Linked DNA regions of Macaca fascicularis. The protein of the gene in region 3 interacts with the protein of the main gene of each other region in a pairwise test. Links are inferred from orthologs where the notes say so. Each region holds a gene or a part of one and is shown on either strand. Other genes may lie near its edges.

Region 1 (4,019 bases), on a different chromosome or scaffold from region 3:
TGGAATTAACTTTGAAAAGCTTTGCGACGTTTTCCATGTGTGGCCTTTTTTTTTTCCTTTTAATTGTTAGCACTACTGGGAGAGAGAAATCTCAAGTAGTTGTTTAATTGCATAGCTGTCAAATCCTAGTATCTTCTGTATCAGTCAGCAAACTAGTTGCCCCTTCTCAAGCCAACAGTCCTGTCACATTTTAGTTGTGACTGTTCTTTTATAATCAGAAATTTAAGAGAAGTCCAAGAGTCTTGAGTATTCTGAGTATGTTACAAGCTTCAAGTCAGTGACATTTTTAAAAAGAATATTAAGCAATCAAAACCATTTTTAAAATAAAACCAAGCCAATGGGGAAAAACAATTTTATTTAATTTTATGCTTCAAATTCATATCATGTACATTAAGTACCATATAAACTTATCTTTAGGCTATCAATATTTAACTTGGGCAGTACTTCATCTTGATTTATTTGGAGAAATACAGCTTAGGCATCTGCTAACCTGCTTAGGCATCAAAAGAGGTGCCAAATTACAAAATAGGGCATTAACAATCAAAATTTTTAAACTGACCCACATACCTTCTACTGGTTTCGCTTATGTTTAAGCATTTACTCTTAAGGTTGGCAAAACATGTTATCAATGTATTATGCAAGAGTTTACATCTTTTGCATAAATGGTCCGTTGGGTTGCACCTACCCTTGACCAAACAAAAACCAAACATCATTGGCACCATACTCAAAACTACCTGTTTTATAAGATTGTGAAACCCAAAAATCTGTAAGGTTGGAGGGACTCCAGTTAATCTTTGGGCTTAGAGGAGGAAAAAAAAAAATAGTCCCATACTGCATTTCACATCTCTTAAAAATAGTTTTAGCAGCTTAAACCTTTTTAGTTATAAAACTTACTACACTCGGATTTACTTTGAAATGTAGTTTACAATCAAGTATAACATACGTACACTGGCACTTTAGCACAAGGGCAAACTTTAAAAACAAATTATTTTGGACCTTTAAAATTAGGCCATACTATAAAAAACAGTCCACGGTCTTACATTCAGCAAATTCATACTAAAATATTCCATTTTTGTAAGATAAAGGCCAATAAAACTTTACATATGCTACAAGTTTATTACAGATATGTACATGGCTCTTTCTCCCCTAGGTACTTAAAATTTTCACATTATCCAACTCCCCAAAGCAAGCTTTGCAGGAATGATGAGGCCAGATCACTATTAGAATAGCTTGTGCAGTGCTGTAATACAAAAATGTATTTTGAAAGCTATTGAGTGACCATTAAATACTGTTTCTATAAAAAATGGTTTTGGTGTATTTGTTGACACTTAATCCACTATATTTAATAAACAGGGCCATTGGGATGTACTATGTCTCATTCTAATGAGCTCCAAATGCCCTTTCCACCCACTGTACAATTCACTAAAATGCAATTATTACAAAAAATTCACATTTTCTTTCAGCAGTGCATCAGGTTGTTAGCATATTACTGGTTTGGGTGTTTCTAATATACTAAACTTTCAGATGTTTACCTAATTCTGAATCCTTGTGTTAGCTTGAAGCTTATAATCTGATTCACCAACTTTCAACAATCTACTCCATGAATGATAAATTACTATCTTCCCCTAACAATAGAAAAAGCTGATTCCTTTACCACTCCCCAAATCTAAACTTGGTTTCCACTTAAAAGTTACTCAGTTGAGAACACTTAATATCAAATACCATTAGTTTAAGTTGCACTGATACTACCATTGTATCACAGTGCACACAAGATCGTCTATTTTTTTTACATTAATTAGCAGTTCTACACAAATAGATTAATTCCTTAGCGAATGTTTCAGACCAATTGACAACTACCCGCGAACATAATTTTAACATTTGTCTTACTTTATACCTGTACTTTAAGTAAGGTTTTAAGTTGAAATGTCATTATTTCCTTATCTGAAGGATTAAAGGAAACAGGGACCCAGTGGCTTGGTGGTTTGGGAAGAACACTTGGTGATGGTGGCTCACTAAATTTGGCACCAGCATAGTTCTGATTAGCTTGAGATTTAAAAAGCAAGCTGGGACCTGATAAGCTAGAATTCCAACTCTGATTATTTGGAAAATTTTTGTTCTTCCCCCCACTTTGCATAGCCTGCCAAGCAGCTGCTGATGAGTTATAACCATGTCCTCTTTCTTTTTTCTTATGAACAATCTTCATCTGGGAATTCTGATCCTTGGTCTTCTGTCTGTTAAGCTGTTGTTGGTTCTTACTAACATTTCTAGATTGAGGGGCTGGAATGTTATACCGCTCTCCACCACCCATCTTCAGCTTCTTTGTCACCTACAAGTGAATGGAAACAAATATTGAGTAAAATTCCATTAAGTTCAAATCTGTAAAAAGCTTCTATGGCTCCAACTTATAACTCCAGATATTTTGAACAAGACTCAGTAATAGGCTATTCAGCTGCTTTAAATTAAAAAAGCAAGCTGTTTAGACTCCAATATATGCACAACCTTTATTATTATACCGTCTCTAAGAAAAATGAGCTTACCCACAAATCAGCATAATCTATTTTAAAATAAAAACAATTGGTTTAGGATGGCTCCATCATAAAATGTTTGCCCATTATGATGATTACCTTTCAGTCTGCTTTTCAGATTGCAGGATCTCCACTACCTGTCCTCTTCCTTGCTGCCAAGCCCAAGATAACAAGTGTTGCTTTCTGACAGATCCTTTCCTTTGTCTCAATACAGAAGTTTTCATGGGCCGATCTGCTGAGTTCAGCCTAGGAGCTGAGGCCAACATCTGAGTCTCCTCAGCACACAAGTTTGAGAGAAGTCCTAGCTAGAAAAGTAAAGATTACTTCATTATTTCAAAAACACGTTGAGAAAGTGATCATTTAGATTTACTACAAAAATCGTTGACTGTAAAGAAGGCTACTTCCTGAACTAAAAGGTAGAAAATTTAAGATGGCTTTGACCTCATAACCACGATCATTTAAAAACTCTTCACCCTTGAGACCCAGTCACTCCTGGGGAATTTTTGGAAATGTCTCGAAGTCCCGCAGTAAGTTTTGTTTTTATCTTTTTCCTGGGAAAGATCTTCAGATTCTCTCACGTATAAAATCAAATAACGAGTGTTAAATGTTAAGAGTCATATCAAAAAATTGGCTTCAGGCGGATTTTCAAAAGAGACCGTGTTTTTAAACTCCCACCAGAATTTTCCAATCTTTCCACACACGTCACATCCATTTTCAGTCTCTTGGAACATGTAGACATCACGCAGTGTTTCCTTTGGTTGTGAACACCCTCGCCTCCTCCCCGTCTTAAAATAAGTTCTCACAAGCCCTAACAGTCTAAGCCCATCTTAAATCTATAAAAATGTCTCCCTAGAGGGAACAGCTCAACATTCAAGGTTTGGTTTTAATTTGATGTTCCAAGAAAATAAGTTACCAAATAGTTAAGCCCCCTCCTTTCAAAGGGGTAAGAGAGCCTTCCAAACAGATAAACCACCCTAAATAAATTGCCATTTCCGGACTGTGAGTCATTCACAACTCGAACTCGGAAAACTCGCCGCCTCCGACGCCACACAGGCTTGGCTTCCCAGTGGCCCCATCTCTCCGGAGCCGCAGGGGTCGGGGCGCTGCGACCGCCCGCGCCCGCCCGGATCTCGCCTCCGCTCGCCTCCTTCCCCCAACAATGGGGAGCGCAGCCACCAACATGGCCGCGCCCGCTGCACAGCCGCTACTTACCGACTTCAAGCTCGGAACTACGGCGGCAGTGGCTCCCTCTCGACGTCGAAGCCTCCCTCCCTTTCCAGGGAGAGACGAGGCACGGACCGACAAAGCCCACGAACACCGATGAGCGAGCTGCCGGCCACCCTAGCTTCTACAACCCAACCTCCTCCTTCTGCCTCTACCGACAAAATGGAGTCGGCGGCGACCGCAGAAGCAGGGCCGGGCGGCTCCACGGCCAATCAAAACACGACAGCGCAGGTCTGGCCAATGAGAAGCGGGCCGCCGCCTGTTGCTGGG
Region 2 (4,056 bases), on a different chromosome or scaffold from region 3:
TGGCTCACTGCAACCTCTGCCTCCCAGTTTCAAGCGATTCTCCTGCCTCAGCCTCCCTAGTAGCTGGGATTACAGGCGCGTGCCACTACAACTGGCTATTTTTGTATTTTTAGTAGAGACAGGGTTTCACCATGTTGGCCAGGCTGGTCTTGCACTCCCCACCTCAAGTGATCCGCCCACCTCGGCCTCCTAAAGTGCTGGGATTACAGGCTTGAGCCACTGCGGCCATCCTCATTTTTTAATTTTTTGTAGAGTCGGGGGCCTCCCTATGTTGCCCAGGCTGATCTTGAACTCCTGACCTCAAGCAATCCTCCCACCTCAGCCTCCCTAAGTGCTGGGTTTACAGGCGTGTAGCCACTACACCAGGCCTTTGACTATTTCTTAACCCTCGAGGCCTCAATTTCCTCCTGTGGAAAAATGAAGATGACAGTTGCCGGTGGTGTTAGCACAGCGTTGGTGTGAGGATTACATAATAAGGCTCGTACAGCTCTTAGCATGGAGCCTGGCACATAGTAAATGGTCAACAAACACAAACTGGCCGGGCTCATGCTAATTTTTAAATTAGCTTCCCAGAGGTTTGGGGGCGTCACTGTCTCAAGCCACGCAGTCCGTCCTTCCCTTAACTCAACCTCCCAAGAACGCTCCAAACTCTCAAAGTCAGATTTTCTGCACCGGCACTTTTCATTGGGCGAAAGGCAACCAGGATCCGCCCCATGTGCAGGAGGCAGCCAATGAGAGACGCGCGACCAAAACCCGGCAGGAAGGCCCCGCAGGCTCCAGCCGCGGGACCCTAAGCCTGACAAGCCCCGAGACACGTGCTCAGGCCGGCGGTCCCAAGACCGGTCCTCGGGCTGGCAGCCTCCCTCCTCACTCTCTGCGGAGCCCACTCCCCAGCTGGGGAAACTGAGGCCTCGGGGCGCTGCCGGGAGCCGGGTCTCGGGCCCCAAAGTGCGTCCCAGCCCCAAGCGCCTACCTTCTGGGCCCGGGCGTCATCTTCCGCCTGGATCTCAAACTCGCCGTCCTCCGAGTCGCTGCCGCGGGCCTGGGAGGCCGTGCCTCGGCGCTTCCGGAGCCCCTTCTTCTTCCTCCACTGGGCCATGGCAGCTCTCGACCGAGGGCCGGCCGCCGGGCGCCTGCCTGCCGCCATTCGGGCCTCGCGCTGGGAACGCAAAAGGGGGCGTGGCCTGCGGCGCGCACCAACTGCTTGGGGCGGGGAGGCGCGATGGCCATGTGACCTCGGCTGCGCTTTCGCCAGTGTCTGCGGCCCTGGGCGGCCTAGTACACCAGCCCCTGAGTGAGTGGCACCAGAGGCCCCTCGCCGTGTTTAGGTACCTCCTGGGCGTCAGGGGCGTGGCGCCCGCCCCTGGGCGGACTCCCCCCATCCCTTGGCGCGAATGGTCCGGGCCGCGTGCGCAGTGCTGCTGGCTGCTCCCTGTTTGCTGGGTGCTAGGTGCTGGGTTCTGGTTTTCTGGATGCGCGCGCCGCTCACACGTCGCCTGTGCCAGCTCCTCGGGTGAGTTGGTCCGCGCGCGGTGCCCCGGCACGGCCTGGGCTGCCGGCGGTCCGGGGCCCCGGGCATTCCGGGCTGCAAATTGACGCGGATCCCGGATGCACCGCGCTCCCCCGCGCCCTCGCCGGGGGGTCCAGATCTGGAGGGAAGAAGACGCGGGGAGGGGTCCTTGAGGACCCCGATGACTACGAACCAAGATGCTCAGGTAGGAGAAAGCTCAAAAATGCAGGGACCTCGGGCATTTTTTAATCGGGTCATTGAATTTGGGAGTCGCAGAATGTGGGGCAGTGGGGGCGGCGGTAATCTCCCGATAGCAGTGTAGCCAAGTACACAAGCTCTGGACTCAGATTTCACTTCCACCGTTTTAGCTTTATAGGTGTGACCTACACATGTGACTTCACCTCAGTTTTGTGATCTGTAAAATGGACAAATTCGAAGCTACTTCACAGTGCTGTTGAGAGGATTAAATGAAACAATGCTTGTAAAGCTCTTTGCAGGAGGTAGGCATGGAATCCACGCTGGCTGTCATTGCCCCTGCACCCATCAGTACACACAGGATATAGGAATGTGCCTGTCTCCCCTACCACCATAGTGCGTTTTCTGGTTGGTGCCTAAATGGGCACAGGTGTCATCTCTCCTTCACCCCCAGAGTCATTCTATAAATGATTGCCAGTAGCACCCCTTTCTCCACCATTTTGACAACTAAAAAAAAAAGCCAAAAAAATTTCCAAAATGCCCCCTGAAGTTGACAGCTCCCCTTTGAGATATTGGTTGAGAGAGAACTAAACCCTTGGGATGAGAACTTCAGAGACTACCAGTATTCCTCCATTAGCACTGCTGTGGCTCAGGGGTGCTACTCTGACCTCTCACAGGGAGCCTCGGAAACAGGGCCTGGCTGGCAGAGCACACCTGCTGTCACCAGGGACCACAGGCAGCATGAAGAACCCTGTGGGGCTCGCCGTCAGTGGGATGCAGACCCTCCGCCTTCAGCACCGCTGCCGGGGTGGCTACCGGGTCAAGGCCAGAACGTCGTATGTGGATGAGACTCTGTTTGGCAGCCCAGCAAGCACCCGGCCTACTCCACCAGACTTTGACCCGCCCTGGGTGGAGAAGGCTAACAGAACCAGAGACGTGGGCAAGGAGGCATCGAAGGCCTTAGGGGCAAAGGGGAGCTGTGAGACCACCCCCTCAAGGGGCAGCACCCCGACCCTCACTCCAAGGAAGAAGAACAAATACAGGTAATGGGGTAGGGAGGTACAAATCCTGTACTCAGTGCAGCCACCTGGATTCCAGTTACAGCCCTGATGTTCACCTACTCTGTGACCTTGGGCAAGCATCTTGACCTCTCTGAGCCACAGTTTACTCATGTGGAAAATAGGACCAATGATTCCTACCTAGGGGAATTGTTGATGGATTAAATGAGAGAGGGGTCTGCAGCACTTCGCACAGTAACCTAATACTTAGCTGTCAATAAATGGTAGTGTTGATGGTTGTGATGGTGGACTCCCTATCCCCAAATGTCACAAACTGGGCATCTGAGGCCCAGAGGAGTCAACTGATGCATAAGATCACAGAGAAATTTGCATAAGGTTATTAATATTAATATGATCGATCCTTGAAATGGCATAGATGTGGTGTTTCTGAAGTCATTCTGAAAATGGGTTTTGGCTCGGTGGGGTAGCTTATGCCTGTAATCCCAGCACTTTTAGAGGTTGAGGTGGGATCACTTGAGCTCAGGAGTTTGAGACCAGCCTGGGCAGTGTGGTGAAACTGTGTCTTTACAAAAAATACAAAAATTTGCCAAGTGTAGTGGTGTGCGCCTGTACTCCCAGCTACCTGGGAGGCTGAGGTAGGAGGATCGCCTGAGCCCAGGAGGCAGAGATTGTAGTGAGCCCAGATCACGCCACTGCACTCCAGCCTGAGTGACAGAGTGAGACCCTGTCTCAAAAAAAAAACAAAAAAAAAATTGAAAGTGGGTCTTGCTGCATTTTTATGAACAAGTTAGAAAAATAGGAACTAATGCAAATTGTCATTGTTGTTAATTAATTAGATTAGAATTAGATTATTTGGACTGTTTCAGATTAATATCAGCCTGGAGGGAGGTGTCTAGTGGTGAGCCACAGGACTCTATCCTGTTTATTGTTTACAGTGGTTTGGACAAAGACACAGAAGATGGCCGGGCGTGGTGGTTCACGCCTGTAATCCCAGTACTTTGGGAGGCTAAGGTGGGCAGATCACGAGGTCAGCAGATCGAGACCATCCTGGCTAACACGGTGAAACCCTGTCTCTACTGAAAATGCAAAAAAATTAGCTGGGCGTGGTGGCTGGCGCCTGTAGTCCCAGCTACTTGGGAGGCTGAGGCAGGAGAATGGCGTGAACCCGGGAGCTGGAGCTCACAGTGAGTGGAGATCGCGCCACTGCACTCCAGCCTGGGCGACAGAGCGAGACTCCATCTCAAAAAAAAAAAAAAAAAAGAAACAAGACAGAAGATTAGCACAGTAGTTGGCTAGGGCCACGATGACAAAATACCACAGACTGGGTGGCTT
Region 3 (3,960 bases):
AAGATGAAAACTTGAAGGGGACTAGCAGGAAGGTTCCAAAGACAAATGTACAACAGAATTGAACCGTTTGACATTGTTCACCATTAAACTGTTAAAAACAAATACACATATTTTAAAAACTTACCTTCGATATACAAATAAGGTCCCTTCTATATCAGTTTTCTCCTATGAAAGACAATGAGTCCATTAGTTTTTTTTCCCCATAATCAGACCCCAAACAGTCCCAATGGAGAAGTAATGCTTCACGTTTAAGATCAAATTGTTTCATTTCATTTATTATAAAATTAACCACTTTGGAACAGATAAAGTCTCCCTCTCATTCCACAAATTGTGGTTACCATTTCTAATGTATGCTTTCAGTGCTACTGATGCATACATAAGCATACGCAATGTTTAATCCAGCAACATATCTGTATCTGCAGCATTTTTCTTTTTTAATTAGTAAAGGAGAAAATCATAGAATAAACCTTCACTTTTTATAGCTAAAATGTTTTAGCCAGATTTCTTAACTTCAAGGCTAAGGTCCTGTATACTGCAATTTTTTCTCTTTTAAAGTTTATCCAAGTTAATTTTAAAAAAGGAAAGGAATGAAATTTTTTTACAGGATACTTTGTTTCATCACTGGGGAGTTTTCGTACATTTTCACAACTAGTAAATTTTGTGGTTAAGAATTCCTACCAAACAAAACCAGCTTGTTATTTTTAGAACTTGAAGAATCATGAATACTGAAAGTATACCCTGCCTCACAGTAATTATTACAGGCCTTTACCATAGGTCATTTTCTGTGACAAGAGTATTTAGGTTTTAAACACAGTTCAGTGTTTTTTAAAAAATAAATAAGCTTATTAGTCTGCAATTTACAGCCTACAATGGACCTAAATATTTTACTGTAATCAACACATTATTAACATTTTAAATGTTGGTCATATATTGAATGTGCTGGGATTAAAAAATTTAGAAAATTGATCATCTTGATTTCTTCCAGAAGTACTACCCTAGCTTAAATATCATTATTTTCCTTCCTAAGGATTCAGAGGCTTTTTCTTACCTTTAAAACGTTAGGTTATTACTATAAGAAATTGGTAATCAACTGTCTTACAGTAAAAGAAAACTTGCCCACCAGAAAACATCATGTAAAGTTACAACTCACTGTAAAAATAACAACAAAGAGAGAAAAGATTTTTGTTATGCTCTACGTGCCAGGATCCAAATAAATGGTAGCAGCTTATTTTTCAATTCAGGTTATTATAGCTTGTATTTCTTATTTAAAACAGAACTCCCCAATGTAAAATTTTAAAATATTGAAAGCCTTTGTGAAAAACTAGAAAAACTCTTTAGTAAAAAGTCCTAGCCCCAAGTCTTCACCCTTGGTCTGCAATCCATATTTCACAAATTTACATATATGCCAAGAAAAGAAAAAAGATTCATAAAATTTCAAACTAAGGCAATGTCTAAAATAGCTACATTTAAAAAACAATCTACAATTTTATTCCTTGTGGCTTCCCATACCTCCTTCTCTTCCAGGAGGCAAAGATAAACAAAGTGATTATAAAAACTCTCTTCATCTGAATTAACTGTTCATAAATGCCAAATGATTTTCGATAAATTACTAATAAAAATAATCTACGCATCTGTATTATAGGGTAAACGACATACTACAGTCATCTTCCAGAGTTGTTAGTTTAAGGATTTCACATCTTATTGAAATGAGAACTCCAGTCATTGGTGAATTCAATCCAACAAACATTTACATACTATTTTCTAAGTGTAAAGCCTGTAACCGAATGAGTTAATTAGGAAGGGTCAATTACAAGAAAGTGGGAAATTATGCTAGTTGTTTTTAAACAACTAACAAAGCTTCAAGCAGGGGCTAACAAGAATCAGTGAACAGACTGAATGTAACTTTTCGGACCCTCTCCAGTGCACGAAAGCCAGAAAGTACTGAGTCTGAGGGGAACATTCAGAGATGACATCACCAGCATCATAGGTGGAACAAAACACATTTACAGGGTCTCTCTTGTTTGTACAAAGGTCTTCGGGGATCCAGTGAACATGGAAGCCCTTTTCCTAAGTGCCTTGAAATCTTTTCCGAAACTGTGTAGTTCGATTAAAGCCAGACCCACCGCACTCCCCCTTCCAAGAATCGAAACTAATTGGATTTTAAGCTTTAAATCCAAATGACCTCTGCGAAAGGGGCTCTCATTTACGTCTGCCGGGGGAGAGAAGGAGTGTTTATTTTATAGACAATGTACATGTAATTTATCTAATAATCCGCAAAGCCTCAAACACAAGCTTTCAGGCACTCTTTTGACCCCACCGGTCTCATAACTCCCAATGTATCTGCAAAGAAGGCAGGTCGCCCACGTCCCCAGACCCGACGCCAAGGGACTGATCCTGCTCCAATCCTCCCCTCCACTGGCTTTTTCTTGGGATGTCTCGAGCCACTTCTCTCACTCCTATCCCCCAATCTCAGGTGGACCCGACACCCCTCAGGCTCTGGCTCGGCTCTTCGCCAGTCCCTGGCCCCGTCTTCACCTCCCTGGCCTCTTGCTGTGTCCCCCACCCCACAGCAACCCGCGCGGCCCCTTTAAGAGACCGCAGCGGCCGGGCGGCCGTCCTCAGAGCCAGGCGGCACTCACCCACTGGTTGGCCTTGGGGCAGAAGGTGTACAGAGCAACCTGGCCCGTGAGGTCTGCGATGCTGGTGATGTAAGGGTCGTGTTGCTTCAGGGCCGCCAGGCTCATCTCCTGCCCAGCTCGACTCAGCGCCTCCATCTTGAATCCCGGAACCTAGCCCCTCTGGCGGGGGCGGAGTCGCGGACAGGAAAGTGCCATCGAGGCAAGGTTCCCCCATCTGCGTCAGTCCCATCAACTTCCGCCTCTACGTGGGCCTCGCGGCATGGCGGTACGTTAGCCATTCTGGTCCGCCAAGCGCACGCACCGGGCGCCGGGTTCCGGCGTTGTCAGGGTCCACTGCCCTACGACGTGGGGCGGTGTCCACGGCTGCGCAGTGGAGCTTGCAGGCTGGCGTCCGGCGCTTCCCTTCCCTGAGCTAAAACGACTAGGTCCTGGGATCTAATCTCTAGCTAGCTTGCCGAGCTCTTTCCAGGCAAAGGCTGGAGACCGCCGAAGTTCCGGCTTCGCGGTTCGCTGTCTGGCAGGGCCCGGGGCCACAGAAGGAAAACACCTCTGTGGAATGTGGAAATGCAGAACTCTACTGGGCCCGTTTAGAAAGCACAGAAAAGCATGGAAGAAAGGGAGAGGCGAGAAGCCTAGAAAATTACCCTAGATCTTAGGTATGGATATATCGACCTAAAAGAAAGAAGATGGGGCAAAGTTAATGCAAGCAGAGAGTTTATTTGGGCCAAGCTTGAGGATTGCAACCCAGGAGCATAGATTCAAGTTACCCTGAATATACACTGATTAGCAGAAGGTACAAGTGGATTTTTTTTTCTTTTTCTGTATTTCTGTCCTTTTTTTTTTTTTTTTTTTTTTGAGAGGGAGTTTCGCTCTTATCGCCCAGGCTGGAGTGCAGTGGCGCGATCTCGACTCACTGCAACCTCCGCCTCGAAGATTCAAGCGATTCTCCTGTCTCAGCGTCCCGAGTAGCTGGGATTACAGGGGCACGCCACCATGCCCTGATAATTTTTGTTTTTAGTAGAGACGGGATTTCGCCATGTTGGCCAGGCTAGTCTCGAATTCCTGACCTCAGGTGATCCACCCGCCTTGGCCTTCCAAAGTGCTGAGATTACGGGCTTGAGCCACCGCGCCTGGCCCTTTTCTTTGTTACTTTTTGAAACGGAGTCTTGCTCTGTCGCGCAGGCAGGAGTGCAGTGGCGCAATCTCAAGCTCACTACAACTTCTGCCTCCAGGTTTCAAGCGATTCTCCTGCCTCAGCCTCCCATTTAGCTGGAATTACAGGCGCCCGCCACCACACCTGGCTAATTTTTTCTTTCCTTTT

The links.
Region 1: the proteins of DCP1A (region 3) and PNRC2 interact in binary tests that used the Homo sapiens proteins (3 or more experiments, as listed by UniProt). The link is inferred for Macaca fascicularis from reciprocal best matches to the Homo sapiens genes DCP1A and PNRC2.
Region 2: the proteins of DCP1A (region 3) and RITA1 interact in binary tests that used the Homo sapiens proteins (3 or more experiments, as listed by UniProt). The two-hybrid records come from large-scale screens. The link is inferred for Macaca fascicularis from reciprocal best matches to the Homo sapiens genes DCP1A and RITA1.

What each region holds. Positions count from the first base shown.
Region 1 is NC_088375.1:211,141,080-211,145,098, forward strand, and holds PNRC2 (proline-rich nuclear receptor coactivator 2), read right to left. Parts: upstream 2,801-4,019; 5' UTR 2,625-2,800; intron 2,327-2,624; 5' UTR 2,309-2,326; coding exon 1,889-2,308; 3' UTR 339-1,888; downstream 1-338. UniProt on the Homo sapiens protein: Involved in nonsense-mediated mRNA decay (NMD) by acting as a bridge between the mRNA decapping complex and the NMD machinery. May act by targeting the NMD machinery to the P-body and recruiting the decapping machinery to aberrant mRNAs.
Region 2 is NC_088385.1:120,111,333-120,115,388, forward strand, and holds the start of RITA1 (RBPJ-interacting and tubulin-associated protein 1), read left to right. Parts: upstream 1-1,256; 5' UTR 1,257-1,707; coding exon 1,708-1,715; intron 1,716-1,878; exon of another isoform or gene 1,879-2,010; intron 2,011-2,382; coding exon 2,383-2,748; intron 2,749-4,056. Other genes in the region: ATP-dependent RNA helicase DDX54, read right to left, coding at 974-1,147. UniProt on the Homo sapiens protein: Tubulin-binding protein that acts as a negative regulator of Notch signaling pathway.
Region 3 is NC_088376.1:116,474,527-116,478,486, forward strand, and holds the start of DCP1A (mRNA-decapping enzyme 1A), read right to left. Parts: upstream 2,801-3,960; 5' UTR 2,775-2,800; coding exon 2,640-2,774; intron 166-2,639; coding exon 125-165; intron 1-124. UniProt on the Homo sapiens protein: Necessary for the degradation of mRNAs, both in normal mRNA turnover and in nonsense-mediated mRNA decay. Removes the 7-methyl guanine cap structure from mRNA molecules, yielding a 5'-phosphorylated mRNA fragment and 7m-GDP.